Linked DNA regions of Elephas maximus indicus. The protein of the gene in region 2 interacts with the protein of the main gene of each other region in a biochemical or structural test. Links are inferred from orthologs where the notes say so. Each region holds a gene or a part of one and is shown on either strand. Other genes may lie near its edges. The genes, in order: CYSLTR2, DLG3 and NET1.

What was found.
Region 1: the proteins of DLG3 (region 2) and CYSLTR2 interact in a test that uses a peptide from one of them, tested with the Homo sapiens proteins (2 studies listed by IntAct, with this or other methods). The link is inferred for Elephas maximus indicus from reciprocal best matches to the Homo sapiens genes DLG3 and CYSLTR2.
Region 3: the proteins of DLG3 (region 2) and NET1 interact in a test that uses a peptide from one of them, tested with the Homo sapiens proteins (2 studies listed by IntAct, with this or other methods). The link is inferred for Elephas maximus indicus from reciprocal best matches to the Homo sapiens genes DLG3 and NET1.

What each region holds. Positions count from the first base shown.
Region 1 is NC_064832.1:30,341,543-30,351,685, reverse strand, and holds the start of CYSLTR2 (cysteinyl leukotriene receptor 2), read left to right. Parts: upstream 1-4,031; 5' UTR 4,032-4,089; intron 4,090-4,683; 5' UTR 4,684-4,791; intron 4,792-10,143. UniProt on the Homo sapiens protein: Receptor for cysteinyl leukotrienes. The response is mediated via a G-protein that activates a phosphatidylinositol-calcium second messenger system.
Region 2 is NC_064846.1:99,501,799-99,511,941, reverse strand, and holds the start of DLG3 (disks large homolog 3), read left to right. Parts: upstream 1-4,537; 5' UTR 4,538-4,549; coding exon 4,550-4,906; intron 4,907-8,240; coding exon 8,241-8,291; intron 8,292-8,706; coding exon 8,707-8,831; intron 8,832-9,059; coding exon 9,060-9,229; intron 9,230-9,527; coding exon 9,528-9,664; intron 9,665-9,990; coding exon 9,991-10,135; intron 10,136-10,143. UniProt on the Homo sapiens protein: Required for learning most likely through its role in synaptic plasticity following NMDA receptor signaling.
Region 3 is NC_064822.1:53,566,663-53,576,805, reverse strand, and holds the start of NET1 (neuroepithelial cell-transforming gene 1 protein), read left to right. Parts: upstream 1-5,232; 5' UTR 5,233-5,406; coding exon 5,407-5,499; intron 5,500-10,143. Other genes in the region: neuroepithelial cell-transforming gene 1 protein-like, read left to right, coding at 2,799-2,819, 3,435-3,509. UniProt on the Homo sapiens protein: Acts as a guanine nucleotide exchange factor (GEF) for RhoA GTPase. May be involved in activation of the SAPK/JNK pathway Stimulates genotoxic stress-induced RHOB activity in breast cancer cells leading to their cell death.

The DNA.
Region 1 (10,143 bases), on a different chromosome or scaffold from region 2:
GGTGATTCTCTTCTTTTGCTTTATTTATGTGGTGGATTGTGTCGATTGATTTTTTTATGTTGAGGCATCCTTGCATACCTGGTATGAATCCCACTTGGTTGTAGTGTATTATTTTTCTGATATGATGCTGAATTCTGTGGGTGAGAATTTTGAATCTATATTCATGACAGGTATTGGTCTTTTTTTTTGGATGGTGTCTTTGCTTGGCTTTGGTATAGGGTTATACTGGCTTCATAGAATGAATTTGGGAATATCTTTTCCTTTTCTATGTTCCGAAATAGTTTGAGTTGTGCTGGTATGAGCTCTTCTCTGAATGCTTAGTAAGATTCTCCAGTGAAGCTGTTTGGGCCAGGACTTTTTTTTCTGCTTTGCTTTTGGGAGTCTTTTTATTACCTCTTCTATTCTCTCTCTTGTTATAGGTCTGTTCAGATTTCCTATCTTGGTTTGTGTTAGTTTAGGTAGGTAGAGTGTTTCTAGAAAATTGACCATTTCCTCTTGGTTTTCAAATTTGTTGGAGTATAATTTTTCATGGTATTCTGTTATGATCCTTTTTATTTCAGTTGAGTCTGTTACCTTATTTCTTATTTGTTTTATTTGCTTCCTTTCCTGTTTTTCTTTTGTCAGTTCGGCCGATGGTTTTTTGATTTCGTTGATCTTTTGAAACAACCAATGTTTGGTATTGTTGGTTCTTTCTATTGTTTTTCTGTTCTCTATTTCATTTATTTCTGCTGTAATCTTTATTATTTCCTTTATTTTTGTGGCTGTGGACTTCTTTTTTCTGCTCTTTTTCTATTTGTTTGAATTGTAAGGCTAACACTTTGATTTTGGCCCATTCTTCTTTTTTTGATGTATGCATTTATTGGTATAAATTGAACTGTGAGCGTTGACTTTGCTGTGTCCCAAAGTTTTTGTATGATGTTTTTCATTTTCATTCATTCTAAGAACTTTTTGATTCCCTTTTTGATCTCTTCTATTACTCAGTTTTTTTTTAAGCAAGGTGTTATTCAGTTTTCATGTATTTGAGTTTTTTTTCCCTTGTTTTTCATGTTATTGATTTCTACTTTTACAGCATTGTGATCAGAGAGAATGCTTTGCATTATTTCAATGTTTTGGATTTTATTGAGCTTTGCTTTATGTCCTAAAATTTGGTCTATTCTGGGAAATGTTCCATGGGTGTTAGAAAAAGATGTATGCTTTGGAGCTGTTGGGTGGAGTGTTTTATATATATATATCTATGAGGTCAAGTTGGTTGATTTGTGGGTTTTCTTTTCTTTTTATACATTTTATGTGTACTGAGACTTTTTCTCCTTTTTCCTCTGATGAGTGGGTTTGTTAGGTCTCTTTATGGTTACCTTGAAATTTACCCTTACCTTCCTAAGTTTAAACAGTCTTTTATTACTTGATGTTGCCTTAATTTCTCCTCCATTTGAAAGTTCTGTACCTACACTGTTTATTTCCTCTTTTAGAGTTTTGACATTGTTGTCATTTACAGACTGGTGTCTGTGTTTCCTGTTTTAAGTCTATTAGCCTTGTTTTATTATTGAGAGTTCTTTACCTAGGTTAGTATCTGTCTGATGCTGTCCTGTGTGCTAGACCCCAGTTGTTGTTTGATGTTGTTGGTTCTCTAACCAAAGGTCTTCCTTTAATATGGTTTTAAAATTTGGTTTGGTTTTAATGAATTTCCTTAAATTCTGTTTATCTAGAAATGTCCTAATTACATCATTGCAATTGAGAGATTTTTGCAGGGTATATTATTCTTGTTTGCCATTTTTTTTTCTTTCTTTTCATATGTCATCCCATTGTCTCCTTGCCTGCATTGTTTCTGCCAAGTAATCAGAGCTTAGTCTTATTGTTTCCCCTTTGTAAGTGACTTTTCATTTTTCTCAAGCTGCTCTCAGAGTTCTTTCTTGGTCTTTGGTTTGGCAAATGTGAATATGATATGTCTTGGTGAGTTTCTTTTGGGATCTGTCTTAGGCTGGTTCTCTAGTAAGGCAAAACCAGTAAAGTATTTAATTATATAGAGAGATTTATATCAAGTAAATGGGTCACATGGTTGTGGAGGCTGTAATGTTCCTAGTCTGTGGGTTATGATGGAGGCTTCTCCTCATTCACATAGCCACAGGGCCTGGCAAACCCAAGATCGGCAGGTCAGAGAGCAGGGCTCTTGCTCACAGGCTGCAAAGACTGATGAATCCCAAGATCAGCAGGCAAAATGGCAAGTAAACTCCTGGCTTAAGTCCCAAGAATCTGAGGTCAGATGAGCAGGAGCCAGCTGAAAGATCCAGAGGAAGCAAAAGCCCATGAATCTTGCCAGAGTCCACCTATATTGGATGCAGGCTACACCCACAAGGAAACTCTCTTTTGACTGGCTATTCAAACAGATCCCATTGTTGATGTGATCACATTATATCATATCTCATCATGGAAGAGATCACATCATCATATGGCTTCCAAACTACATCATAACTGTCAAACCACTGAGAATCATGGCCCAGCCAAGTTGACACACGACCTTAACCATCACAGGGTCTATCCTATATGGAGTTCATTGAGCTTCTTGGATGGTCAGCTTTTCTTCTTTCATGATACTTGGGAAGTTTTCTGCCAGCAAATTTTCAACAATTTTCTCTATGTTTTTCATTTTATCCCCCTGTTCTGGAACTCTGATCACATGCAAATTTTTGCTCTTTGATTGTGTCCTTCATAATTCTTAGGTTTTCTTCATTCTTTTCTCTGATTTCTCCTCAAAGTAGCGTCCACGTATTTGTCTTCAGTCTTGCTGATTCTGTCTTCCATTGATTCAAATTTTCTCCTAAAACCTTCTACTGAGTTGTCAATTTCTGAAATGTTATCTTTGGATTTCTAGTTGCCGTTTTTGTATTATTTCTAATTCTTTATTCATTTTGAAGTTTTGTTCTTGAGTTTTTTTTCCTGAAGTCTTCTATTGTTTTGTGTTTTCCCTGATTTTGCCTGTTTTTTTTCCATGTTCTCCATGATTTTGTTTGTTTTTTCTTTGGTTTGGTCTGTGCTTTACTTCATCTCTTTCTTAATCTGTTGGAGAGCCCTAAATATTAGTCTTTTGCACTCCATATTAGGTAGTTCCATTCTTTGTCTTCCCTTGGTTGGTTATCTGTTTCTTTCTTTCTTTTTTTGCTGGAGCCACATTGCCCTGCTTTTTTATATGTTTTGGTATTGTCTGCTGCCTCCAAGACATCAAGGTACGGTTTTCTGTATTTATTGATTGTGTGTTTGTTTGTTTCATCCTGATCTTTGTTTTTGTTTTTTTTTATATGTCAGGGTGGGCTGGCCAGGCATGCTTTGCCAGTTGCTCATCATGGACACAATAACTGTCACCACCTTGTCTGGCTGGGCAGAGCACTAGCATGTATTGTGAGCCCACTTTGCTGTACACTTGTTTGGTGAGGTGCTGAGGGCAGACTGGGGGGTGCTGTCTACCCCTGGTGTTGGTCCAGCGATGTGAGAGCATTCACAGTCCTTTGCGAGAGAGGTGGGAGTGTCAGACAGGAACTCGTTCAGCAGCTGGTTGGGTGGCAAAATGGGAGGGGCAGTGTAAGTCCATTGCATTGGTGGGCCTGAGGCAAGCATGCTTTAGCCATGGCAGCACCACAAGGGCCAGTAAGAAGAGGGGGCTGGTGTATGGGGCTAAGTAAGGGAAATAAAGAAAAGAAAAAAAATGAAAGGGTAACTGGAGTGTGGGCTTGGGGTGTACCTGGGGCCAGTGGAAGTGGGAATGAAGCGTCTTACAGGGCTAGCTGGGAGAGAGAAAGAAAAAGAAGAAAGGAAAGAAAAAGAAGAAAGGAAAAAAAATGGCACAACAGGAATTGGTGGGTAGAGTTGGGGCGGACCTGGAGTGATGGCAGACTAGTAGCTCTCTAGCTGAGAGGCACAGCTTTGCCTGTTGGGAAGGGGTTGGGGTGGTGTAGGGGGCTAGGCAAGAGGGAGAAAGAAAGGGAAGAGAGAGAAAAATATTGCACAACAGTAGCTGGTGGGTGGGGTGGGGCAGACCCAGGGTGATGGCAGGCCAGTAGCTCTCTAACTGAGTGGCACAGCACTGCCCATCTGGAAGGGGTGAGGTTGGCATATGGGGCTAGGTGGGAGGGAGAAAGAAAGGGAAGAAAGGAAAAAATAATGGCACGACAAGAGCTATCAGGTGGGGGTGGGGTGGACCCAGATGATGGCAGGCCAGTAGCTCTCTAGCTGAGTGGCATGGTGTGGCCTGTCAGGAAGGGCTGGGGGTGGCATACAGGGCAGAAAGATGAGGAGTGGGAAAGCGTGTTTCTCTGGTTACTGGGTGCTCTGTCTCCTGTTGCGAGCTCTGTGGAGTTACCGTCCTGTACTTCCTGTCCAGGATCTTTGCTGGCTGTGCACCAAGATCTAGTTGTGCTGGACTCAGTCTGGTGGAGGCTGTGGTAGTTTTGGCCCATTAGTCCTTTGCACTAATCTCTCCTTTGTGTCTTTGGTTTTCTTCATTCTCCCATGCTCCTGACGGAGTAAGACCAGTGGAGTATCTTAGGTGGCTGCTCACAAGCTTTTAAGACCCCAAACGCTGCTCACCAAAGTAGAATGTGGAACATTTTCTTTATAAGTGTGTTATGCCAGTTGAGCGAAATGTCCCCCGAAACCATGGTTCCCAGCTCTCAGACCAGTAATTTCATCCCTCAGGGAGTCTGGATGTGTCTGTGGAGCTTCCATGACCTTGCCTTGGACAAGTTGTGCTGGCTTCCTAAACAGAATGCTTTTAATATTTCACCGATGAGTATGATGTTTGTGGTAAGTTTTTGATAATATCTTTTACCAGATTAAGGAAATTCCCTTCTGTTCCTAATAGCTTAAGTGTGCTTTTTGTTTGTATCAAAATCATGAATGTATGCTAAATTTTATTGAATGCTTTTTTGGTTATATATTGAGATAATCATGTATATCTAAAAATTTTCTTAATGTGTTAAATTAATAGGATTTCATGTCTTAAAACATCCTTACATTGTTGAAATAAACTCTAGTAAGTCACGATTTTTTTTACACATATTGCTGAATTCAGTTCCCTAATATTTTGCTTATGATAATTACATTCATGTTCATACCTAAGCTTGACATACAAATTTTTCTTCTTATACTTTCTCTCCTTTTTTAGTTGAGAAGTAATTCTTCTTTTTCTATTATCTGAAACAGTTTGTATGGGTAAAGAGTTATCTGCTCCTTACAGTTTTGGTAAAACTTGTTTCTACAGTCTTCTGAGCATAGTGCTTTCTTGGTGTGTAGATTTTTGGCTTCTGATTTAATTTCTATTACAGATATGGTTGGGTTTGACAGTCATTCATTACCAGCAGTAAGTCTCTACCAGTTATTTGCAGCAATTGTCTGTTCTCATTTTTTTGTCATTTGGATTTATCATTCCCCATCCCTATACCCATTGTGAATGTTTTTTAATATCCCTTCTGGACTCATCTTGAGTTACTTTAGATAATTTACATTTAACCAAAACCAAAAACTCTATTTGATCAACGTTTTAAAATGCATTATCATGAAATTATTCAAAATATTTAGTTAAAATTTTAACAATCTTGACAGTAAACCCTTTCATTCCTAATATGATTTATTTGTGGCTTCTCTTTTTCTTGATCACATTTGCCAGGAGTTTACTTAGACTTTATTTATGTTTACATAATTCTAATTGAGGAGGGGGTTGATTCTATTGTTTTTCTCTAAATTTTATTTTGAATAGTGCTGCAGTGAACATTGGGGTGCATGTATCTGTTCATGTTCTGCTTTCAGGTCTCTTGGGTATATATCTAGGAGTGGAATTTCTGGGTCATATGGTAGTTCTACATTTAACTTTTTGAGAAACCAGATATTTCACCAAAGTGGATTTTCAAAAGGCCAACAAGCACTTCAAAAAAATGTTCAACATCTAATGATTGTTGTTATTGTTAGGTGCCGTCTAGTCAGTTTCAATTCATAGCAACCCTGTGTACAATAGAATGAAACACTACCTGGTTTTGCACCATCCTCACAATCATTATTATGCTTGAGCCCATTGATGCATTAACCATTAGAGACATACTAAGGATGGCTAAGATAAAAGCAAAAACAAACAAAGAAGAATGGAAAATAACAGAGGTTAGCGAGGATGTGGAGAAATTCGAACCTTTATTCGTTGCTGGTGGGAACATAAAATGGTTCAGTTTGCTTTAAATTTTTTCCCTCATTATTCTTGTTATGATGCAGATTCACTAGGATGTATAAAAGAGGAATTTATATTTATTTTTTTGCTCCGAACTCATACGGAGAACTTATACTCAATCTGAGTATTCTTTCATCAATTCAGTTCTTTTAAGCTCTAAGGCCACAGTCTTTTTTACTCTCTAGCTTTTTGGTACACTATAGTCATACTTTATGGGAGACATGCAGTTATGGAGATTTTGCATTATTAAAAATTCATTTAAATCAAAACTAATCTTTGGAGGCGGAGCCAAGATGGCAGAAGAGACAGATGCTTCCATCGAGCCCTCTTTACAAAAAAGACTCAAAAAAACAAGCGAAACCAGTATATTTGTGACAAGCTGGGAACCCTGAGCATCAAAGGTAAGCTTAGACAGTGAACTGAGGGGCAGAGGGAGGAAGAGACCGATCAGAAGCAAAGAAGACTTACCAGACCTGAATCACAGGGAGCCCTCAGGCACCATTCCCAGAGTGGCGACTACAGCGGTGGCGGCGGGCTGGTCCTAGCGTTCAGCTGCAGTTTTCTCAGGGAGAAGCAGCCAGCCACACAGCCCACTCACACCCTCAGAGCCTGAGGAGAAGGGCGCTCTCGGCAAAAGCTAAGTACTTGCGTATATTTTACTGCACCCCCCACCCCCAACCCAGCTTCAGCGGCTGAATCCCTGGGCCTGAGATAGACTCTGGTGAGCACCTGGAGCCGTCCTCCTGGCCTTGGGGAAGGAAAAAATTTGCAACTGGGGGGAAAAGATAATTTGCTAGCTCCATTAACTGGGGGAGCTCAGGACAGAAGCAGCTCCTGTCCAGGCATAAACTGTCCATGGACCTTGAGCACCTTTCCCTTCTGCATGGACTGTGTGGGTCTATTTCGGGAGAATAGGCCCTTGATGGCAAACACCAACCATTTCAGCTGTGCAGTGGAGAGGTGGGTGTTTCACATTTGACATTGCTTTACCTATTAAACAAGGTTCTCAACTACTCACAACAGGGACCTGAGGACTGGTGGCTCCACGTGGGTTGCCTAGCCACCTGTGACAGGGGTCCAGGGATAACTGGTACCTCCCAGTCCTTACAACCAAAAACTTTGGGTGCCCATGGTCCCTCTGCAGAGACCATCCACCAGCACGCTCTAGGGAACAGAGACATGTTTCCTCAGAGACACTTGGGGGTCAGTTCTCAGCCCCCTGCCTTGTTCAGAGCGTGAGCCCCCGCTGCAATCAGATACTGGTATATACGCCAATCACCCCTGCCCCTCTAAGGCTGTATGACAGAGCTGGTACCACACACTTGACATCAGCTACCTGGAAACCTGAGCTGAATTCATACAAGAAAACTGAATGGACTCCTAGACTGATATACCTGATAACAGCTCTAGCCAGCTGGAGAAGGGAAACCAGCGCTCCAAAGGTGAAAATAATCAAGCTAGCTCACTGAAGCAACCCATAGGCGTATACCAAAACAAAACAAAGCAAGCAGCTACGAGACAGTAAGCAAGCATAAACTAATACAATAACTTATAGATGGATCAGAGACAACAGTCAATATCAAGTCACATAAAGAAAAAGGCCATGATCACCTCAACAGGCTCTCAAAACAAAGAATCCAGGAATCTTTTAGATGAAAGTGAATTCCTGGAATTACCAGATGCAGAATACAAAAGTTTAATATACAGAACCCTTTAAGACATCAGGAAGGAAATGAGGCAATATGCAGAACAAGCTAAGGAACACATAGATAAAGCAACTGAAGGAATCAGAAAGATTATTCAGGAACATAATGAAAAGTTTAATAAGCTGGAAAAACCCATAGACAGACAGCAATCAGAAACTCAGAATATTAAAAATAAAATTACAGAATTAGATAACTCAATAGAAAGTCAGAGAAGCAGAACTGAGCAAGTAGAAGGTAGCATTTCTGAACTCGAAGATAGATCACTTGGCACTAATATTTGAAGAAAAATCAGATTAAAGAATTAAAAAAAAAAAAATGAAGAAACCTTAAGAATCATGTGGGACTCTATGAAGAGAAATAACCTACGAGTGATTGGAGTACCAGAACAGGGAGGGATAACAGAAAATACAGAGAAAATTGCTGAGGATTTGTTGACAGAAAACTTCCCTGATATTGTGAAAGATGAGAAGATATCTATCCAAGATGCTCATCGAACTCCATATAAGGTAGACCTTAAAAGAAAGTCACCAAGATATATTATAATCAAGCTTGCCAAAAGCAAAGATAAGGAGACAATTATAAGAGCAGCGAGGGATAAAAGAAAAGTCACCTACAAGAGAGAGCCAATAAGAATAAGCTCAGACTACTCAGCAGAAACTATGCAGGCAAGAAGGCAATGGGATGACATATTTAAAAAACTGAAGGAAAAAAATTGCCTGCCAAGAATCGTATATCCAGTAAAACTGTCTCTTAAATATGAAGGTGAAATTAAGAAATTTCCAGATAAACACAAGTTGAGGGAATTTGTAAAAACCAAACCAAAACTACAAGAAATATTAAAGGGAGTTCCTTGGTTAGAAAACCAATAATATCAGGTATCAACCCAAGACTAGAACACTGGGAAGAGCAACCAGAAGTCAACCCAGATAGGGAAACCCCCCCCCAAAAAAAGCAAGATTTGAAAAAAAAAAGCCTAACACAGGGTAATGGCAATGTTATTACATAAAAGAAGACAACATCAAGACAATAAAGAGCAACTAAGAAAAGTAGTCATACACCTTCCATACGGAGAGGAAGATATGGCGATACAAAGAAATAAAAGTTAGTTATAAATTTAGAAAAATAGGGGTAAATAATAAGGTAACCACAAAGGAGACAAACTATCCTACTCATCAAAATAAAATACAAGGGAAAAATACAGACTCAGCAGAAACAAAATGAACAACAACAAATATGAGGAAAGGACAACACATAAAGAAAATCTACTCAGCACATAAAATCAAGTGGGAAAAAGAAGTTGTCAAACACAAAAAAAGACATCAAAATGATAGCACTAAATTCATACCTATCCATGATTACCCTGAAGGTAAATGGACTAAATGCGCCAATAAAGAGACAGAGAGTGGCAGAATGGATTAAAAAACAAGATCCGTCTATATGCTGCCTACAAGAGACACACCTTAGACTTAGAGACACAAACAAACTAAAACTCAAAGGATGGAAAAAAAATATATCAAGCAAACAACAATCAAAAAAGAGCAGGAGTGGCAATATTAATTTCTGACAAAATAGACTTTAAAGTTAAATCCATCAGAAAGGATAAGGAAGGACACTATATTATGATTAAAGGGACAATACTCCAAAAAGATATAACCATATTAAATATTTATGCACCCAATGACAGGCCTGCAAGATACATAAAACAAACTCTATCAGCATTGAAAAGTGAGATAGACAGCTCCACAATTTTAGTAGGAGACTTCAACATGCCACTTTCAGTGAAGGACAGGACATCCAGAAAGAAGCTCAATAAAGACACAGAAGGTCTAAATGCCACAATCAACCAACTTGACCTCGTAGACATATACAAAACACTCCCCGCAACAGCAACCAACTATACTTTCTTTTCTAGTGCACATGGAACATTCTCTAGAATAGACCACATATTAGGTCATAAAGCAAGCCTTAGCAGAATCCAAAACACTGAAATATTACAAAGCATCTTCTCTGACCATAAGGCCAAAAAGGGAAATCAATAACAGGAAAATCAGGGAAAAGAAATCAAACACTTGGAAACTGAACAATACCCTGCTCAAAAAAGACTGGGTTATAGAAGACATTAAGGATGGGTTAAAGAAATCCATAGAATCCAATGAGAATGAAAACACTTCCTATCAGAACCTTTGGGACGCAGCAAAAGCAGTCCTCAGAGGCCAATTTATATCAATCAAAGCA
Region 2 (10,143 bases):
CAAAAGGACAAATATTGTATGAGACCACTATTACAAGAATTTGAGAAATTGTTTAAACAGAGAAGAAAATATTCTTTGATGGTTATAAGAGTGGGGAGGAAGGGAGGAAGAGGGGTATTCACTAATTAGATAGACAAGAACTATTTTAGGTGAAGGGAAAGACAACACATAATTCAGGAGAGGTCAGCACAACTGAACTAAATCAAAAGCAAAGAAGTTTCTTGAAAAAACTGAATGCTTCGAAAGCCAGCGTAGCAGGGGCGGGGGCCTGGGGACCATGGTTTCAGGGGACATCTAGGTCAATTGGCATAATAAAATCTATTAAGAAAACATTCTGCATCACACTTTGGTGAGTGGCATCTGGGGTCTTAAATGGTAGCAAGTGGCCATCTAAGATGCATCAATTGGTCTCAACCCACCTGGAGCAAAGGAGAATGAAGAACACCAAGAACACAAGGCGATTACGAGCCCAAGAGACAGAAAGGGGCATGTAAACCAGAGACTACATCAGCCTGAGACCAGAAGAACTGGATGGTGCCCGGCTACAACCGATGACTGCCCTGACAGGGAACACAACAGAGAGCCCCCGAAGGGGCAGGAGAGTAGTGGGATGCAGACCTCAAATTTTCGTAAGAAGACCAGACTTAAAGGTCTGACTGAGCCTGGAGGGACCTCGGAGGTCATGGTCCACAGACTTTCTTTTAGCCCAAGACTGGAACCATTCCCAAAGCCAACTCTTCAGACAGGGATTGGACTGGACTGTAAGGTAGAAAATAATACTGGTGAGGAGTGAGCTTCTTGGCTCAAGCGGACACATAAGACTATGTGGGCAGCTCCTGTCTCGAGGTAAGATGAGAAGGCACAGGGGGACAGAAGCTGGCTGAATGGACACAGGGAATACAGGGTGGAGAGAAGGAGTGTACTGTCTCATGGGGGGAGAGGAACTAGGAGTATGTAGCAAGGTATATATAAATTTTTCTATGAGAGACTGACTTGATTTGTAAACTTTCACTTAAAGCACACTAAAAAAAAGAAATAATGACTAAAATTTTCCACGTTTGGCAAAAAACATCAACCTATAAAATGAAGAACCTGAGTGAAACTCAAAGAGGTTAAACTCAAAGAAATCCACCCAAAATATATCAGAGTCAAACTTCTGAAAACTAAAGACAAAACAAAACAGAAAATCTTGCAAGCAATGAGAAATGACTCTTCATCCATAGGTGTAGAATAATTTTTATGGCAGTGGATTTCTCATCAAAAATCACGGAGGTCAGAAGAACGGGGCAGGACATACTTCAAGTGCTGAAAAAAAGTAACTGTCAGCCCCAGATGCTATATCTGGTGAAAACGTCCTTTAGAAATGAAAGGGAAATCAAGAATTCTCAGACTAAGGAAAACTAAGAGAATTTCATCGCCAGCAGAACCATCCTGAAAGAAGGGCTAAAAGAAGTTCTCAGAACAAAGGGAATGATAAAAGAAGGAATCTTGAAACATCAGAAAGGAAAAAAGATCAACAGAATGAGCAAAAATATGGATAAATACAATAGACTTTCCTTTTCCTCTTGAGTTGTCTAAATTACCTTTATGGTTGAAGCAAAAAGTATAACATCATCTGATATAGATCTCAATGTTTGTAGAGAAAATATTTATCACAACCATATTAAAAATGGGAGAGGTTAAAAAAAACTTCAAGGAAGTTAAGGTTCCCACATTCAACCTGGTAAATGTCTAAACTAATAAATTTTGTGGTGAAATTGTTTTGTATCTTGATTGCAGTGGTTGCTAAAAGAATCTCCACGTGATTAAATGGCATAAAACTGTACACACATTGTACCCATGTCAATTTTCTGGTTTTGATATTTTATTATAATTAAGTAATATTTAATCTTTAGGGGAAACTGGGTGAAAGGTACATGGGATCTCTTTGTACTCTCTTTGCAACTTCCTGTAAATTTATAATTATTTCAAAATAAAAAAAGTTTTAAAAGATTATCGGGACTACTCTAGATTAAAAGAGATTAAAGAAACAAATGCAGTGTGAGAACCTTAATTGGGTTCTGATTTTTAAAGATATGAAAGGCAAATTTTGGGAAATGCTAATATAGACTGGACATTAAAACAAAAACAAAAACAAACCCATTGCAGTCAAGTCGATTCCGACTCATTGTGGCCCTGTAAGGCAGAGTAGAACTGCCCCACAGGGTTTCCACGGAGCGCTGGTGGATTTGAGCTGTCGACCTTTTGGTTAGCAGCTGAGCTCTTTAACCATTATGCCACCAGGGTTTCCAGACTGGACACTAAAAAAAAAAAAAAAAAATTTTTTTTTTTTTTTTTTTTTTTTTTTTTTATGAAATTTTCTTAGGCGTCATCATGATATTGTGATTATTTGGGAAAATGTCTTTATTCTTAAGAGATGCATTTAGGGGTGAAGAGTAATGAAGTCTGTAATTTACTTTAAAGTGGTTCAGAAAAAGTGTTTATGTATCTATCTATACAGACAGACACGCCGAGAGAAAACACAAATATAACTAAACGTTACCAATTGTTGACTCTATGAGGAGGGTATACGGATGTTCATTACAGTATTCTTTCAACTTTTCTGTATGTTTGTAAATGTACATTTAAAAATTTTTGGAAAGGATATGTGGAAGATAGGTAGGTGATAAAGCAAATACAGTAAAATGTTAATTGTAGAATCTAGTTGATAGATAATTGAGTGTTCACTGTAAAATGTATTTTTCTCTGTGTTTGAAAATTTTCACATTAAAATGTTGATGTTAAAAACTTGAAGGAAAAATATCATAACCCAGTGTCCTCCCCTAGCACTCCCAGTCCCCCTTACTCTGCTCTACTTTTTCTTTTTTTGTAGCACTTATCACCATCTATACTATATAACTCACTTATTTATTGTACTTCTTTTTGTCTGTCTCCTCTCACTGGAATGTAAGCTCCAGCGGGCAGGGATTTTGTCTGTTTTGCTCTGTTTGCTGCTATATCCCCAGCTCCTTAAATACTGTCTGGCACATAGCAGGCGCTCGATAATCAAAGAATCTCTGTATCTTTTGTACCTAGGTCAAGGTCGAATGTTTGTTCAATTGAACTGAGATCCAAGTTCTGCAGAAGAACTTAGAATAGATCTATTATACTAGAGTGGTTCAGATCATGGCCTCTGGACTCAAATGACCAGGATTTGAATTTTGATTCTGTCACTTTCTAGCTAGGTTAACCTCCCTGAGCCTCAATTTCTCATTGGTAAGATTAAGATAATAACAGTACCACCTTGGTAGACTTTTTGTTTGCCATTAAGCACTTAGGACTTTACAAACACTCAATAATTGGTAGCTAAAGACAAAACAACAAAAAGATAGAGCCCCCAGCATGTCATCCTTCCTCCATCCCCCAACAGGCTAAGCCAGGAGAGGCTGAGGAGATGTCCTTGGACGGGTATTCCCAAGTTCTCCAGACCCACGGACTTGTTTCTCTCCTTTCAGAGGTCTTCTTACCTTTCCTCCTGTCTTGGATTCTCTTTCTTCTTGGGATCCTGAAACTCTTTCTCCCACCATAACCATATGGGGGTGGGGTAGAGGAGATAGGAGCCTGTGGGCCAGGGACAAGGCTTACTGCTTTCCTTTCCTCTCTTATCTAGAGCTGAGTCCCTGACTGATGATGGAAGAAGGTCAAGTGTGAGATCCTGGTCATTTCAGGGCCCAGGGGCTGAGAGAACAATAGTCCTGAGGAGGAGGCATTGGCAAGAGTGCTAGCCTTGTATGCTGCCCTCTTGCTTGGTCTGCTGTAAGAGAGAGCAGCACCTCCTTCACCCTGCTCCAACGTCCTTTCAGTCTGTCCTGCTGCCTCAAGTCTTTACTTCTAGTGGCCCCAACTCAGAGCAAGCCCGGGGACCCATTGAACTCTTTCTTGGAAGTGGGGTGGAGTGGAGTGGGAGGAAGACGGGCTGAAATCGGGGTGTAGGGGCAGGTATTGAGGGCTGAACTAACCCATGGTCTAAGCCCCCCGCCCCCACCCGAAGATGGACGGTACTCCCAAGATCCGGGGAGCTGGAGCTGAGCCTGGGGGCGCCACCGCTTCTGTTCCTTTAAGGAGCCGCTGTTTAGCATTCCTGCCGCCGCTGCTGCCGCTGCCTGACTCTACGCCCTGATTGGCTGGAATCAACTGAGAAGAGAGCCAGGGAGAGATGCTCTAGACTCCACTCCGATCCATCCTGGGGACCAGAGCAGAAGCAGTCCTCGCACATCCAGCCTCTACCCCGGCTCCCGCTTCTTCTTCTTCTTCTCCGCTGGGCCTCAGCCCAGGAGCCACCACGGGCGACACGGAGCCACCAGTGCTGGAGGGGGAGCCGTGGGTGCGGGGCAGCGTGGGGGCAGAGGCCCCGGGACGCCCGCCCGGCCCCAGGCCCCGCTCCGCCCGGGCGCCCCCACGGGTGCCCCCCCCTCCCTGGTCCGAGCAGTGCGAGTGTGCCCGGGAGCCTGGCAGCGGCGGCGTGGAAGCCAGCGTGGGTTGGGGAGTCCGAGCCGCGGGGGGCAGTGCCATGCACAAGCACCAGCACTGCTGTAAGTGCCCCGAGTGCTACGAGGTGACCCGCCTGGCCGCCCTGCGGCGCCTCGAGCCTCCTGGCTATGGAGACTGGCAGGTGCCAGACCCCTACGGTCCAGGTGGGGGCAATGGGGCCAGCGCAGGTTATGGGGGCTACAGCTCCCAGACCCTGCCCTCGCAGGCGGGGGCCACCCCCACCCCCCGCACCAAGGCCAAGCTCATCCCCACTGGCCGAGATGTGGGGCCAGTGCCCCCCAAGCCAGCCCCAGGCAAGAGCACCCCCAAACTCAACGGCAGCGGCCCCAGCTGGTGGCCTGAGTGCACCTGCACCAACCGGGACTGGTATGAACAGGTATGGACCAGCGGTGTAGGGGGACGGAAGGGCAACCTATGAGGGTTGGAGAGTGGGGGCCTAGAGGCCTAGGGTGCAGCAGAGGGAGCTGGGGCTCCAAGCCCGTGGACCCTGAGCCCTAGCATTGCAGCTGGGCAAAGAGAGGCAGTTGGAAACGTATGGTTCTCTGTGTGTCTGCTGGGGGGGGGGTCTCCATTTGGAGGGGATTGGGAGGAGCTGTGTGTCAGGGAGTGGAGATATGGCGGAGGGGCAAATTTTCCCGTGTGGGGGAATTGGGTTTGTCTTAGTGCGGGGGTTCAGCAGTGTCTCTGTGTCTGGCAGGGGGCGGGAGGTTCTGCGGGGGCTGTGTGTGGTGTGTGTCTCCATAGGAGGGGAGGAGGGGGCATGGTGCTCTGCATAGAGGGAACATGTGTGTGTGTGTGTGTGTGTGTGTGTGTGTTGGGATGTGTGGAGGAAGGCAACGGAGCCTCTGTGAAGGTATGTAGAGGAGCCCATGTGCCTGGCTCGCTGAGCTGCATCCCTTGGTGCCATGAGTCCCTCTCCCTCCCAGTCCCTTTGTGTGTGAATGTGCACATGGACGTGTGGGACGCCTCTCTGGATGTGGAGGTGTCTCTGTAGATAAGGCTGAGGGAATAGCTGTGTTTGCCTATGTGTGTTGGTATATGTATATGTGTGAGCATGTGGCTACAAATGTGTGCATGCATGTGCCTCTGTGTGTGTGTGTGGTGTCCCTGGTGAGAGGCACTTGACAGGCAAGGAAGGGGAGGAGGAGGAGGAGGCAAGAGGCACGTCCCAAGAAAGGCTGAGGGGCTGCTGAGAAGGACAGACTCTTTTGTCCAAGCAGCTCTGAAGTGTGTGTGTGCTGGGGGGGGGGGGGGGTGGGGACTGAAGCAAGCTTTCTTGCTCCAGACTAGGCATGGTGCCTGGAGCCAGGCAAGGGGCAGCTGCCCTGGTGCAGGGACTGGACCCAGTGGGACATGTCCCCCTTGGATACTCCCAGATGTGAGAGAGCTTGGCACCCCAGCCCCGATTTGGCACAGTTTGGGAGACCCCTGGATGCCGGGCACAACTCCGGCTTCCACTCTCAGCCTAAACTGCCAGCTTAGAAAATGGAAGGAGCATCTGTGGGAGAAGCAGCAAAATGGAGGCTGGGCCGGCAGAGCCAGGTCCCTGGCATGCATGGCGGAGGGCCTGTCTGGTTATCTGGCTCTGCAGCCCCCAGGGTGGGGAGAAAGAAGAAGGAGGTTTCGCTATCGAGTGCAGTGGCTGACTGCCCCAAGCTGGTGGCCATTCTGGCTGCCCTCCATCCTCCTCTGGAGATAGGATGTGCACTTGCTCAAAAGCAAAGGGGAGGGGGGAATTCCTGGGGAAAGGAGCCCTCAGTTCTGGCCTTCTGTCTGTCCACACTTTCCGCTTCCTATGTCCCTTGTCTTAGACCCTTGCCTTCTCCAGTGAGTCTCTCTCCCTCCTTTGCCCCTCTGCCCTGGAGCCCTCCCCTTGCGAACACCCTCTCATATTTGTCCTGCCCAGCCAGGGAACGAGTTCCAGTCCCAGGGCTGGGTCAGTTGGTCAAGGTTTTTTTGCCAGGGCTGATCCCTGGATGGCGCCTGGTCCTGGGAGCAGAGTCTCTGAGTGTGGTGGGAAGAACTGGAGGGTGGGCCAGTGGGAGGTGGGAGCCTTTGGGTCCCACATGAGCTGGGCTCGAGGCATGGCTTGTCAGATGTGGGTACATACAAGAGCCACACGAGTGTCCTTTGGCCTGTGTGTCTGTCTGCATGGTTGTGGGTCTCTGAAGGGTCATCAGTTCTTCCTCCTGGAATCAGAGACCAGGGTGGGATTGCAGCTGGAGTCCTCCCACCAATTCCCAGGGCAGGGCATAAAGTCCTGGGGCCAGGCCCAGAAACAGTGGAGACATGACTAGCCAGCACTCTCCCCCTCTCATGATCTCTGCTTCTTAAAGCCAAAGCTGTGTGGGGTAGAGGTGGGAGAGAGAAAACACATTGGGGCAGACAGAGGAGCCACTGCCCACTCTTTCCAGTTCTCCTTTCTGAGGAAGATGCTGGGGGTGGGGGGGGGGGCAGGCAAAGGCCAGTGCGGGCAGAGATGGGAGGAGAGGGTGCTGGGACACCTGGGGAAAGAGGCAAGAGGGCTGCTAGTCATGCCTCTTCCATTCTTGAGGATGAGAGTTGGAGCCAGGAAGCAGGTGTTATTTCTCTGTCCAGAATCACATTTTCACTTGATAAATGGTCACATGTGTGTACTGTCTGGGAGGCCACCTCTGTGGGTTGATCAGACCAACCCATTGTTTTCCACCCCTTTCCTTTGCCTCTCTTCCCATGGCTACTGCATGTTGAAGGCCACAGAGTCTGCTCCAGTCAGTCTGTGGACCATCAGCTTCTCCCTCATGGAGAATTTTGTTCGCTCTGCCCCTGTACCTCCCCTGGTTTTGCTTCTGACTCCTGACCAGATCCTGCCCTGGCCCTTTCTGTTGGGAGACATGAAGGGTTCAGGATCAAAATCCCCTTGGTAGAAAATGGATTAGGACTTTAACTCCTTCTGCCCATATGAGGAATTGGGCTCCTGGGGACAAAGAAAGAGGTATAGAATGAGGGGTTATGAGATGCTTTGAAGGAGGCCACTTTCTGATTTCCCACGAGCTCTGCTGGGGGAAGGGGTGTGTGACCAAAAAATCAGTAGCTTTGGCAGCCTGCTTTAATCAAAAGGGCACCTGGAGATCAGGGTTCTTGCTGCAGCTCTACCACTGATTCCCAGTGTGCCCTTAGACATATCCCATGTCCTCTCGGGGCCTCAGTGTCACCATCTGTAATAACTAGGGGAGCTGAAACAAGATGGTATCTGCTGCTCTTCCATCTCTGACATGGTAGGAGTCTATGATCCCCAAGTCAGGGAGAGCTGTGGTTCAGAAGGGGAGGGAGGGTCCCTGTCCAGGTCACTGGGTGTCTCCTGTGGATGCTGCGTATGGCATGGTCCGACCACCATGCTCCATCTCTGCTATCCCTCTCAGGCCATCCCTGCACCCCTCCTAGTGAACTCAGAGGCCCTAGAGCCGAGCCTCTTGATGAGTGCACAACTGGCCAGCTCAGTCCCAGGCAATTGATCTGGGCTACACAAGCAGCCGGGTTTGGCCTGACATGGCTGGAAGCAAGGGGAGAGGAGTGTCTTCCTCGGGGTCAGCCTGTTCCTATCTGTGACCAAGAGGTGCTCTGGGGTGGATTTCAGTTTTTCTGCTGGGAGTGGGGTGGGGGGAAGGCAGGTTGGCCAGGGGGCAGGAAGGTCAGGAAGCACTCAGGGAACTGCCTGTGTTTTCCCCTAGGTGAATGGCAGTGATAGCATGTTCAAGTATGAGGAGATAGTACTCGAGCGGGTAAGTCTGCCGGTAGGAAGGAGACAGGAGGGAAGGGAGGGTGCGAGCCAGGAGAGGGGAGGGCCCTGAACCTTGGCTTTAAGACTCATGGCAGGACCTGCATTGAGCGGATGGAGAAACAGCGGCCCTCAGAGGCTGCATCACTGCATGAATCAATCTACTAACAAATATTGATTGACCTTGCTCACTGAGGCCTGGGGAACTGGGGATGGAATGGGGTTTGCTGAGGCCTCCATGCCAAAATGGACAGCACAGGCTGGGAAGCCACCAGGTTTGTGACAAATCTGACCCTCCCTGCCATGGCCCTTCTGAGGCCTGGAGAACCTCCCCTAGGAGGTTGGGGAAGATGGGTGCCAGAAATTCTCCTTTATGCCCTCTGAGTGAATAGACTGTGCCCCTCCACCCATTTCTGCAGGGCAACTCCGGCCTGGGCTTCAGTATCGCGGGTGGCATCGACAACCCCCATGTCCCAGATGACCCTGGCATCTTCATTACCAAGATCATCCCTGGTGGAGCAGCTGCCATGGACGGGAGGCTGGGGTGAGGTGGCCTGGAAGCAGGGTGGGGGCGGCAGGGACAGGATGAAGATGAGGGGAGGAGGGCCCGACTGGTAGATGACCCTTCCATCAGATCTGGGAGGGGGAGGGGCAGTGGGAGGTGCAGGAGAGAGGAGGAAGGGGAGGGAGAGAGGAGAAGAGGAGGGGAGAAGGCGGGAGAGGGGGTGGAGTGGCGGTGGCATAGTGTTGTGCCTCTCGGCTTCCCCTGCAGGGTGAATGACTGTGTGCTTCGGGTGAATGAGGTGGACGTGTCAGAGGTGGTGCACAGCCGAGCCGTGGAGGCACTGAAGGAGGCAGGCCCTGTGGTGCGGTTGGTGGTGCGGAGGCGACAGCCCCCACCAGAGACCATCATGGAGGTCAACCTGCTCAAAGGGCCCAAAGGTGCGGCTGTCTGGGTTCCTGTGCTCTGACCAGAGCTCCTAGCCCTGGGTCCTGGCTGGCTGGCCATGTAGGAATTAGAAGGGAATGGCCTTACTCCTTGCCTGATTCCCCTTTTCAACTCACAGCCTTCTTTCTTCGCCTCAGGTCTCACCCTTACTGGCCTAATGTTTGGGACCCCTGAGGGAGTTCCTGTGAGGCCAATGAGTTGGCTGGGGGGGGGGGGGTTGGACTTGGGATTGAATGAGCACTCTAATCTCTCCTTGTGACCCCTTCCTACTCCCTGCTGGCTCCCACCTAGGCCTGGGTTTCAGCATTGCTGGGGGGATTGGCAACCAGCACATCCCAGGAGACAACAGCATCTACATCACCAAGATCATTGAGGGGGGTGCTGCCCAGAAGGATGGACGCCTGCAGATTGGGGACCGGCTGCTGGCGGTAAGACAGCCTTCATCAGGATGCCCAAACGGTAGGGTGAGGAGGTGAAGCTCCAATACCCTCTTACTCCACGTAAACTTCACTCAGGGACCAGGCATCATGAGGAGTTTCAAGAGCATCGTCTGAGTTATGTTTACCTAGACACCAAGACCCTAGTTCTTTCCATGGCTGGGGGGACCCTCTACCTCCTGCCTCTCTGGTCCTTACAGCACTATACTTGGACTTCCGGTAGCACTATTGAATTTCACTGAAAGGCCATCCTTCAGGGTTCCCTGGAGAGGCCCTTCCTTCTCCCAAGGCTGGCCCTAAGGCTTCCCATCTTCTAGGTGAACAACACCAATCTGCAGGATGTGAGGCATGAGGAAGCTGTGGCCTCACTGAAAAACACATCAGATATGGTCTATCTGAAGGTGGCCAAGCCAGGCAGCCTGCACCTCAACGACATGTACGCACCCCCAGACTACGCCAGCAGTATGTAC
Region 3 (10,143 bases), on a different chromosome or scaffold from region 2:
ATCTGGAAAACATGTTGTAATAGGAGTTGAGCAGACCAGATTAGAATCTTTATTCAGCCATGGATTAACCCCACAACTTTGGACAAGTTTCTTAAACTATCCGGGCCTCTGTTTCCTCCATCTGTAAAATGGTGATATTAATGTATACCTCATAAATAAGAGCATAAAGCTACTATCACAGAGTAGGAACTCAAACAGCCCTTCATTTTTTACCACCATTCTTCAGCTTCCTTCTAAGAAAACTGAGGAGGATGGATTAATGATCTGAAACAACCTTTTCAGTCTTCTGATACTGAACATTGACTCAAGATTCTCTCAGGCTCATCCCTTAGAATAGTAATTGAACATTCACATGTTCGTTGCTCCTTTTTTAGACACTATCTACAGTTGTCTAAATTATAGTTAGACCACAAACCTGAACATACAAAATGAAACTAAGATTTTAGTGTTAATGATTTGGGATTTTTGTGACTATCATCTCTAGACCCTATTGGGCTCATGTAGTGTCTATTTTTATATAAAATGATTTCTACCTTTACCTCCTGGGTCCTCAGCTAAAGGAGAGAAATGAAAACTATCCCTTCCCCTCATTATCTTGACTTACTTCTATGATAACTAAATGGAAAAATAATAGTTTTGAGAAAGACATGGGGTAAGAGACCCGTATGACGCCCATAACAGCTTTTTCTCTAATTCTCATTGCACATAGTCCTTTATTCGTGAAACTAAATGACCATAAGTACTGGCCTTACTTGCATCATTTTTTAAGTGATTAAAGTAACTGAACCAAACTACTGGGTTCTATCCCAGGCTCTTCCTATTAGCTCTGAGAATTTAGGTGGATTAGTTTTCTTGCCTATAAAATTAGGGAACTGGATCCCACAGGAAACCCTGGTGGTGTAGTGGTTAAGTGCTACGGCTATTAACCAAAAAGTGGACAGTTCGAATCCGCCAGGCGCTCCTTGGAAACTGTACAGGGCAGTTCTACTCTGTCCTATAGGGTCGCTATGAGTCGGAATTGACTCGACGGCGGTGGGTTTGTTTTGTTTGGGGATCCCATGATCTACAAGGTGCTTCTACTTCAGTGCTACATAAAAATACCTTCTACAATCAGCCACAATCATACATGCTGCCCAGATGTGGCCAGGTAATAGAGGATAGATGATAAAATATAACCAATACCCATTACTTAAAAAAAAGGAGAAACAAAAACAATGAACACCTCAAACCAGACTGATGAATTACCATGACCTTGTATACAAAGCACATTGGTGGCTACAGAAGAGCAGCACTGGTCCTTCTTAAAAGAAGTAACACTGTCCTACAGACCTTAATAAATCTCTATATAGATTATTTGTCTTTATAAATAGTCAGTACCTATTATTTCTTACTCTGCCCTATTCATTCTTCAACCCCTGCAATTTACTTTGTTTATTCCACTGAACTTCCACACTTGAGGTCACTGTTAAACTTGTGATCACTAAATTCATGAATTTTTCCTTACCCTCCTTAACCTATTTTCAATAATTAACACCTTTTCTTCCCTTGGATTCTTGCTTTCTCTCCTTGTAATTGTTAATTCTTTTCTCTTGACATTTATCTTAGTTATCTAGTACTGCTAGAAATACCACAAGTGGATAGCTTTAACAAACAGAATTTTATTCACTCACAGTTTAGGAGGCTAGAAGTCCGAATTCAGGGCGCCACCTCTAGGGAAAGGCTCTCTCTCTGTCAGCTCTGGTGGAAAGTCCTTGCGTCCTTTCATCATTTGTGGGCCCAGCATTCCTTGGAGAACCTATGTGTCTTGGCATCAATATTCCCCTGGGTCTAGGAAGTTCAGCACAGGGTCCCCAGGTCCAAAGGACATGCTCCACTCCCAGCCCTTCTTTCTTGGTGATAATAGGTCCCTCTCTCTCTGCTCACTTCTCTCTCCTTTTGTCTCTTATAACATAAAAGGTGATGCAGGCCACACCCCAGGGAAACTGCCCTTACATGGATCAGGGCTATGACCTGAGTAAGGGTGTTGCATCCAACCCTAATCCTCATTAACGTGACATAATTGAGGAATCATGGAACGAGGAATATCATTGCTGATGTCAGATAGGTCTTGGCTGAAAGCAGAGAATACCAGAAAGATGTTTACCTGTGTTTTATTGACTACGCAAAGGCATTTGACTGTGTGAATCATGACAGGTTATGGATAACACTGCAAAGAATGGAATTCCAAGACATTTAATTGTGCTCATCAGAAACCTGTACATAGACCAAGAGGCAGTTGTTTGAACAGAACAAGGGGATACTCCGTGGTTTAAAATCAGGAAAGGTGTGTGTCACGGTTGTACCCTTTCACCAAATTTATTCAATCTGTGTGCTGAACATATAATCTGTGAAGCTGGACTATATGAAGAACACAACATCAGAATTGGAGGAAAACTCATTAACAACCTGCAACATGCAGATGACACAAACTTCTTGCTAAAAGCAAAGAGGACTTGAAGCACTTACTGATGAAGATCAAAGACTACAGCCTTCAGTATGAATTGCACCTAAACATAAAACAAAAATCCTCACAACTAGACCAATAAGCAACATCCTGATAAACAGGGAAAATACTGAATTTGTCAAGGATTTCATTTTTCTTGGTTCCACAATCAACGCCCATGGAGCAGCAGTCAGGAAACCAAATGACATGTTCCATTAGGCAAATCTGCTCCAAAAGACCTCTCTAAAGTGTCAAAAAGCAAAGGTGTTATTTTGAGGTCTATCATGCGCCTAACCCAAATCCATGGTCTTTTCAGCTACTTCATATGCATGTGAAAGCTGGACAGTGAATAAGGATGACCGAAGAAGAATTGATGCCTTTGAATACTGCAAAGAATACTGAATGGACTGCCAGAAGAATGAACAAATCTGTCTTGGAGAAAGTACAGCCAGAATGTTCCTTAGAAGCAAGATGGCGAGACTTCATCTCACATACTTTGGACATGTTGTCAGGAGGGACCAGTCCCTAGAGAAGGACATCATGCTTGGTGAAGTAGAGGGTCATCAAAAAAGAGTAAGATCCTCATCGAGATCAATTGACACAGTGGCTGCAACAATGAGCTCAAGTATAACAATGATTTTGAGGATGGCACAGTGTTTCGTTCTGTTGTACATAGGGTTGCTATGAATCGGAAGCAACTCAACGGCACCTAACAACAACAATCCTGCCTCATTAACATGATGGACAGCTTATTCCCAAATGGACCATAACCATAGGCATAGAGACTAGGATTTTCAACACATCACAAAATGAATGATAATGAGATCACAAAATAGGACAAGCACACAATACTGGGGATCATAGCCTAGCCAAGCTGATATATTTTAGGGGGATGCAATTCAGTCCATGAGACCATTCATCCAAAATTAGGTCTCTTGCTCTTTTTGTCCAGATTTTCTCTCCCAGGCATCTCCTTCATCCCCAAGGCTTCAACTCTCACTACTATGTGGCTGACTCTTCAGCCTAACTCTACCTCTCTTCTGCCTAAATCTGCCTGTCTTCCAAGTCCCTGTCCAACATTTCTAACATCTAGGTGAGTATTTTCATTTGTCTGTTCTTCCATCACCTCAGACTCAAGTATATCTAAAATGAAACAATTTTCTTTCAAAACTTGTTCTTATTATTTTCATAAACAGTTGCCCCTCCCATCTTAAAATCTTCAGCTTCTTTGACTTCTTGCATATATTGTCTCTTGCATGTATCCTTTTCCTTCCTGATGTCCTACCTTAGGTAAAGTTCTTGATACCTGATTATGATTTTTGCATTGCTGCCAATCATCTTTCAGACCACCTCAAACACTAGTCATATGTCTCTTCTTTCAGCATGACTTTCGTTACCTCTCTCACCTGCTCACTAAGACCTACTCCTTTTTAAGCACAGCCCATTACCTCACAGTTTGAGTTTACTCACTCAATCTACTTTGGAGCCTTGCGCTTTTCCCTTGCTGAAAAGCTGTCTTGTATTAGTTATATCTTCATGTGGCCTATCCACAATGGTATTAGCACTTAGGATCAGATATAAAACCTTTTATATATATATATATGTCAACCACAGTATCTAGAACAGTGTCTTTTTCGTAGATTTCTCCAATCCTAAGAATAGAAGTAAAATCATTTTTTGTGAAACACTGGCATCAGGTCATTCATAGTAATATACAGTTAAGTTAAAATCTTACCTTTCAAAATAGAATACAGTACTTTGTGTTAAAGAAGAAAATCTGCTTCATAGCAGACCTACCAGAGCAACAGAAATCATGTTGTTCCATAGAGAAACGGATTCAGACTAGAAATGTGGAAACTGTCACTAGTATATGACTTTGGGCAGGTAACTTCTCTGTGAGGCTCATTTCTTCCTGTGTAAAATGCAAGATAGTTTAAGTAAGTCTTTTGATTTCTATTAGGAATTTATCAAGATTGGTTAGTTCAGAATAAAGACCTCTGTTATATATTTTTAGAACAAATCACCTTTTATGTATTTTTATAACATCTAGTATACAGATATCAAATTTTAAAAACATACAGAAAAAATACCTACTATTAAGTCTAAGAAATACTGAACTTTATCCTCCAAAGTAACCCAGTTATGCTTTGCCCATAACCCTATGGGAGATTTACTTCAAGAATAGAGTAAACTTTATTTACCCTGCTGGTCTTACGAAAAAATAGTGGGAACCATTTTCTAAGGGCAGGCAATTTTACAGTTGTGAATATGTTTGCAACTTATGTAAAATAAAAGCAAGTTGCCTGGGTAATTAGGTTTTTCTTTAGCCTATACAGTTATTTAACTCTGAATTCCTACTTTCTTGCTTGAAGTTGTCAATTGTGCATAATAAATTTCTTCCTAGGTGAAAGGGTTTTTATGGGAAAAGTATCCCTGCCTGTGACTAAAACTAGATGAGATAACCTAAACAAGCAATTAGTTCTCCATTGGGAATGCTTTCTAAATCAGGAAGAAAAGCTTCTGCCTTACATTAACCCAACTTCCTTTTCCCTTCTCCTCTTATTTTCTTACTATAGAAATTCCAAACCTATCGATAAAGAGCTTTCTCTTCCACAGCGAAAACGGAGAAGCCTAGGTGTGCCACAGCTGTCAGTTAACTCGCGTCACGTGACCCCCTAGGTGCACGCCCACTAAGGCTAGTTCGCTGTTTTGGCCCCGCCTACAGAGCCTTGAGGTCTGTGTGCTTTTACCCCAGCTCTCAGAAGCTGTTAGTTCCACCACAAGGAAGAGACATGGGCAAATGGCTGCCAAGGGTGGGTGAGGACTCAAAAGAAAAGCCTGTGTGACTCAGTAGTGATCCGAGTCAGCAGAGCTGACGCGGATGTGGATCACTTGTAAAGATTTTAAGGAATACTCGGTAAAGCATGGTGGCGCATGATGAGATTGGAGGTCTCCTACCTATTAAAAGAACTATTCGAGTCCTAGATGTTAATAATCAGTCCTTCAGAGAACAAGAGGTAAGACTTTAAAATAAAAATTAGGCAAAAGGAATGTTTTCTAACTCCATGAAACTTTTAAGATTTTTAACAATTTATTAACAGTATAATTTTAAACTTTTGATCTAACAATTTAAGTATGGTTACTGAGTGTTAATATGTATGACTTTGATTATATCCAAGTTTGAGAAGTGTGCTTAGGAATTGTGGTATAGGTTTATTACATGGTATAGCTTGAGTGTACAGAAACTTCTATGCGAAAGGAAAAAGATTTTAAGTATATAAGCTGCTCAGTTTGGTTAAATTGGTCACTTTTCTGATGTTCTATATATATATATTTTTTAAAGTATATATATATATATATTTTTTTATCGTATTTGCTTAGCCTTAGGAACTGCTTTATGGGGTAAGAAGAAAAATAAGAATCCCTTCCTTGTAAGTTCATGCTAGTGGATAAATTGCAACTAAAGTGCTATCTGACCTGGTGTGGGTTTTTGCTTTTTCTTTCCACATCTATTAAGTTCATTGTGTGCTGCTTTTGTTTTCTTCAGAAAGAAAGATACGTTAAAACATTTAAGCACATGATCATTATTTAAATACTTTGAAGTCATTATAGTTCTTAAAAATCTTGATGAACATTTATCAAAGTAAATCAAATGCTTTTTATACAATTTTAGGTAATCTTTACAGTTAATTTAATACTATACGGTATTGTATTAATTTATATACTGCAATGTATATTATGTGGTATATATCATCACTTATGTTAGAAACAGTGTTTCTGTATTCAGTCATCTATGTATCTATCTTGATTGTAGTGGTGGTTTGGTATATACCTACTCAAAACTTACCTAATCATACTTTAAATATGTGCAGTTTGTTGTATGTTAGTCATACCTGAATAAAACTGTTTATCATATATGTACAACATATACTTTTTGGTAGCTAAAGTAGCTGCCATGTTTAGGAGGTACGCTTTTACTTGGCGTGGTTTGGCTTTGGTTATTGTTTTGTTTTTTGCTTACTTAGGTTTTGGTTTTCTTGATGTGTCTATATTAAGCAAATCAAGTACGTGGTCATCAGTGTAAATACTGAACCTGATAATCATCTTTTGGCCCATCAAGAGGCAGTCTTTTTTGTTTGGTATTAGACATGGGCCATGTTTCTGGCACAGCTGTATTCAAAAGATTAAAAACACCAGAAATGTTGTCAGGTTTTTAGAACTGGTAACATAGCCTTAAAGAAATGACTTACTTGAATATTCCTATTACCCTTCTTACTAAGTAGAAAGGGAAGAAATCCTATCATAACTCATTTTTATTTTTTTAAAAATAGCCTTTATTTTCATTCTTCTTATTTTAAACTTCTTGCCAGGTACTAAGGAAAATTATTCATTTTGTAATCCAAAACAAATAAACTTAGACACGTACTGTCTTTTTTAAATGTCTTGATTTAATTGACTATAGAAAAACCTCCTAAAATAAGCCCTCTTAAGTGACATCATTATTAGAAGAAAAACCTTTTTACAAGATGCTGAAGTCATGGCAGAATTTTTTTGTGTTGTTGCATTGACATGAAGGGTACATTCCAATAAAAGATTTTACATTGATCCTAACAATTTACCGTATATAGATGTTCAAAAAATATTTTAAGGTATAAAATCTGAACAACAATTGGATTGTGTAATTAATTAGTTACCCGGTCTGAAGGCAGGATTTCTTATAATAATGTGTGTGATTGCCTAGCTAAACTAGATAGTCTGATTAAAAGTTAACCTAAATAATCAACATGAATTTGTTAAGGGTGTTGGGTTTATGCTTCCCTTCCAAGTAAACTTTAGCCCTGGTGAAAGGTTACCTACAGTAGAAAGTTTCTTGAGTATGCTGGTATTCTTTATTTTCAAAAACGTTCAGATTGTCCTTTAAGGAGAGGGTATAGTTTGAATATCCATAGCACTGTTTCCAGTGCTCCAAAATAAAAACAATAGAAACATTATATAATCTTTACTTTTGGTGGTGGTAGGACGGATATACCCCTGCTCTTTTATAACCTCTAACTATTGTACCTGCATTGTGTGTGTGTGTGTGTGTGTGTGTGTGTGCAGTTCTCTAAAAACAGTCTCTTAGAAATGTGTTTTGTGACAATGCAAATATTTAAGTTCTTAGTAACTAAAACAAGATAGTTAAAATAGTTCAGCTGGATTTCTGAAGAAAAACTATTTTTGGTTTTAGTTCACATGAACCAAATCCTACCCTGTATTTCAAAAGATTGGGAATTTTTATCCCAACCTTATAGGCAACCCGTGATTGCCTAATCTGTATCACTTTTCCACAAAAATTTTCTGTATAATTTTTTTTTCAGGTAGTATACATATCCTGAAATTTAGTAGTATACTGTGCTGTAATCCATATCCAGTACTATGCCTTTACATTTCCATCACACTTTTCAAGTTATTCATTAAAAGTGTTTATGCTTTTGAAATATTAACACTAACAGTTTGTATTGTTTCTGCCAAAAAATCTCCACATGTGCCATTTTAGTAAAGCAGGAAAGTTGCTATTGGATCACCAAAAGCAAGTTGGAAAAGTGGAAAGTCTTCCCCTTCCCCCACTGGTATTTCCTGATTTAATACCACACTTTCTTACCAAGCAAGACATTTTGAATTAGATGAACTTTTAAGAGTAACATATCCTTTCTGGAGAAATGAGATATGGGTGGGTTTTTAAAGGACTGTGGAAATATTTAACCACCAAATACTGCTTAGCATAATATCCTGCCACCCTAAAGAAACAACATAAACAAAATCCATATTAGTTTCAGAAACTTGCTTTGGATATATTTATATTTATTATCTCAACCCAAATTCTGTAGATTTCATTTTAAGTATCACATAATTTTGAGTTACCAAGAAATCAGTAATTATACAGTAACTGATCCAATAAAGATAAGAATTTTTTATCATTAATTTGATTTTATATAATAGATTTAAAAAAAAAAAAAAAACCCTTTCCTCCCAGCTGAACTAATTTTTCCTATCAAATTCACTGGGAGAGGCATCACTCCAAAGACTTTTAAACTGAAATTAAATATTTTGTGACTTACTGAGAAGTCAAATATGTTATGCTTTAAACCTTTGTTTCCAAAAAGAGGAACAGAACTTTCTGACAACTGCTTTGTTTGTAGTTAATGTTGGCATATCTTACCTTGTGAGGTAATTATATCTCCACTCAAACAAGACTGTTTGTACTGTCTTTACTAAATAGAAAGGAATGCCTTATGTTAGCCCTCCTGCACATGCATGTGTCACTTCAGTCTTGTACAGATGTATATTGTAAAGGCATTCACACATGTCCTTGGTCACCATGTGTGTCAGATTACTACATATTTTGAAGGTTTCTTTTTCAATTCATTTAATATTTGCACATTAAAAACTCGAAAACCAAACCTGTTGCCGTCAACTCCATTCCGACTCATGGGGACCCTATAGGACAGAGTAGAACTGCCCCATAGGGTTTCCAAGGAGCACCTGGTGGCTGACCTTTTGGTTAGCAGCCATAGCACTTAACCACTAGGCCACCAGGGTTTCCTTTTGCACATTGAAAACCCATTGCCGTCGAGTTGATTCCGACTCATAGCAACCCTATAGGACAGAATAGAACTGCCCGATAGAGTTTCCAAGGAGCGCCGCCATTAGTGGCTTTATATTCAGGGTTTTACTTCGGTGTTAATTGTCTTTTTTGTCGGGGAGGGATGTCTAAAATGCTGCCTGTTAAGGTATTCGGAGTTCTGAGTTCATTTTGATTATCTAGCAAGTCTCCTTACTTTAGTGGTTCATAATCCTTTCTAATATATACGTATATATTTAAGAGCTTTAATAAATCTAAGCTTTGCTACTTTGGCTATTTGAATCATTTTTTAAATTTCTTTCTTTCCAAAGACTTTTAACTCTTTCTGCCAGTTTATTCTTAAATTATTCCAGGGAAATCATTTGCACTCAGTTTTCTCATCAATCATTTAATGTCTAGTATTAAACATTTGATTATCTTTTATTTCCTTTAAAAAGTCAACTTTTTATGACTTTGACCATATCAAAGAATTTTTAGAAAAAAATTTTCTTCTATTATTTTTAAATGGTGATTTTTATATAATTTTAAAATATATACCCTTCTGAATTCTCATCAGAATTATTTCATCATGTATGCCACCATTGGAAACCCTGGTGGCATAGTGATTAAGAGCTATAGCTGTTAACCAAAAGGTCAGTAGTTGGAATTTACCAGGCACACCTTGGAAACCGAATGGGGCAGTTCTGCTCTGTCCTAAAGGGTTGCTACGAGTCAAAATCGACTAGACTGCAATGGGTTTTTTTATGCCATGATTATCAAAGGCACCAAATACAAACAGATAATACTCTGTAGACATTATAAAGGACAAATCTGTTTTATGATCTGGCATTTGTAAGTTTTGAGGTCCTTGAATAAGTGATATTTGCTATACTATTATTTTTAAAGCAATACATGTAGAATAATAACTTTCTTCAGAATTTGTGTATCTTTTTCCTTTAAAGTTAATAAATACATGAGAGAGGATCAAATTATGAATTCCAGTGTTTAAGTACTAGAAATATCCCTAAGAAAGAATGTAGTAATAGCTAACTGTGTGCCA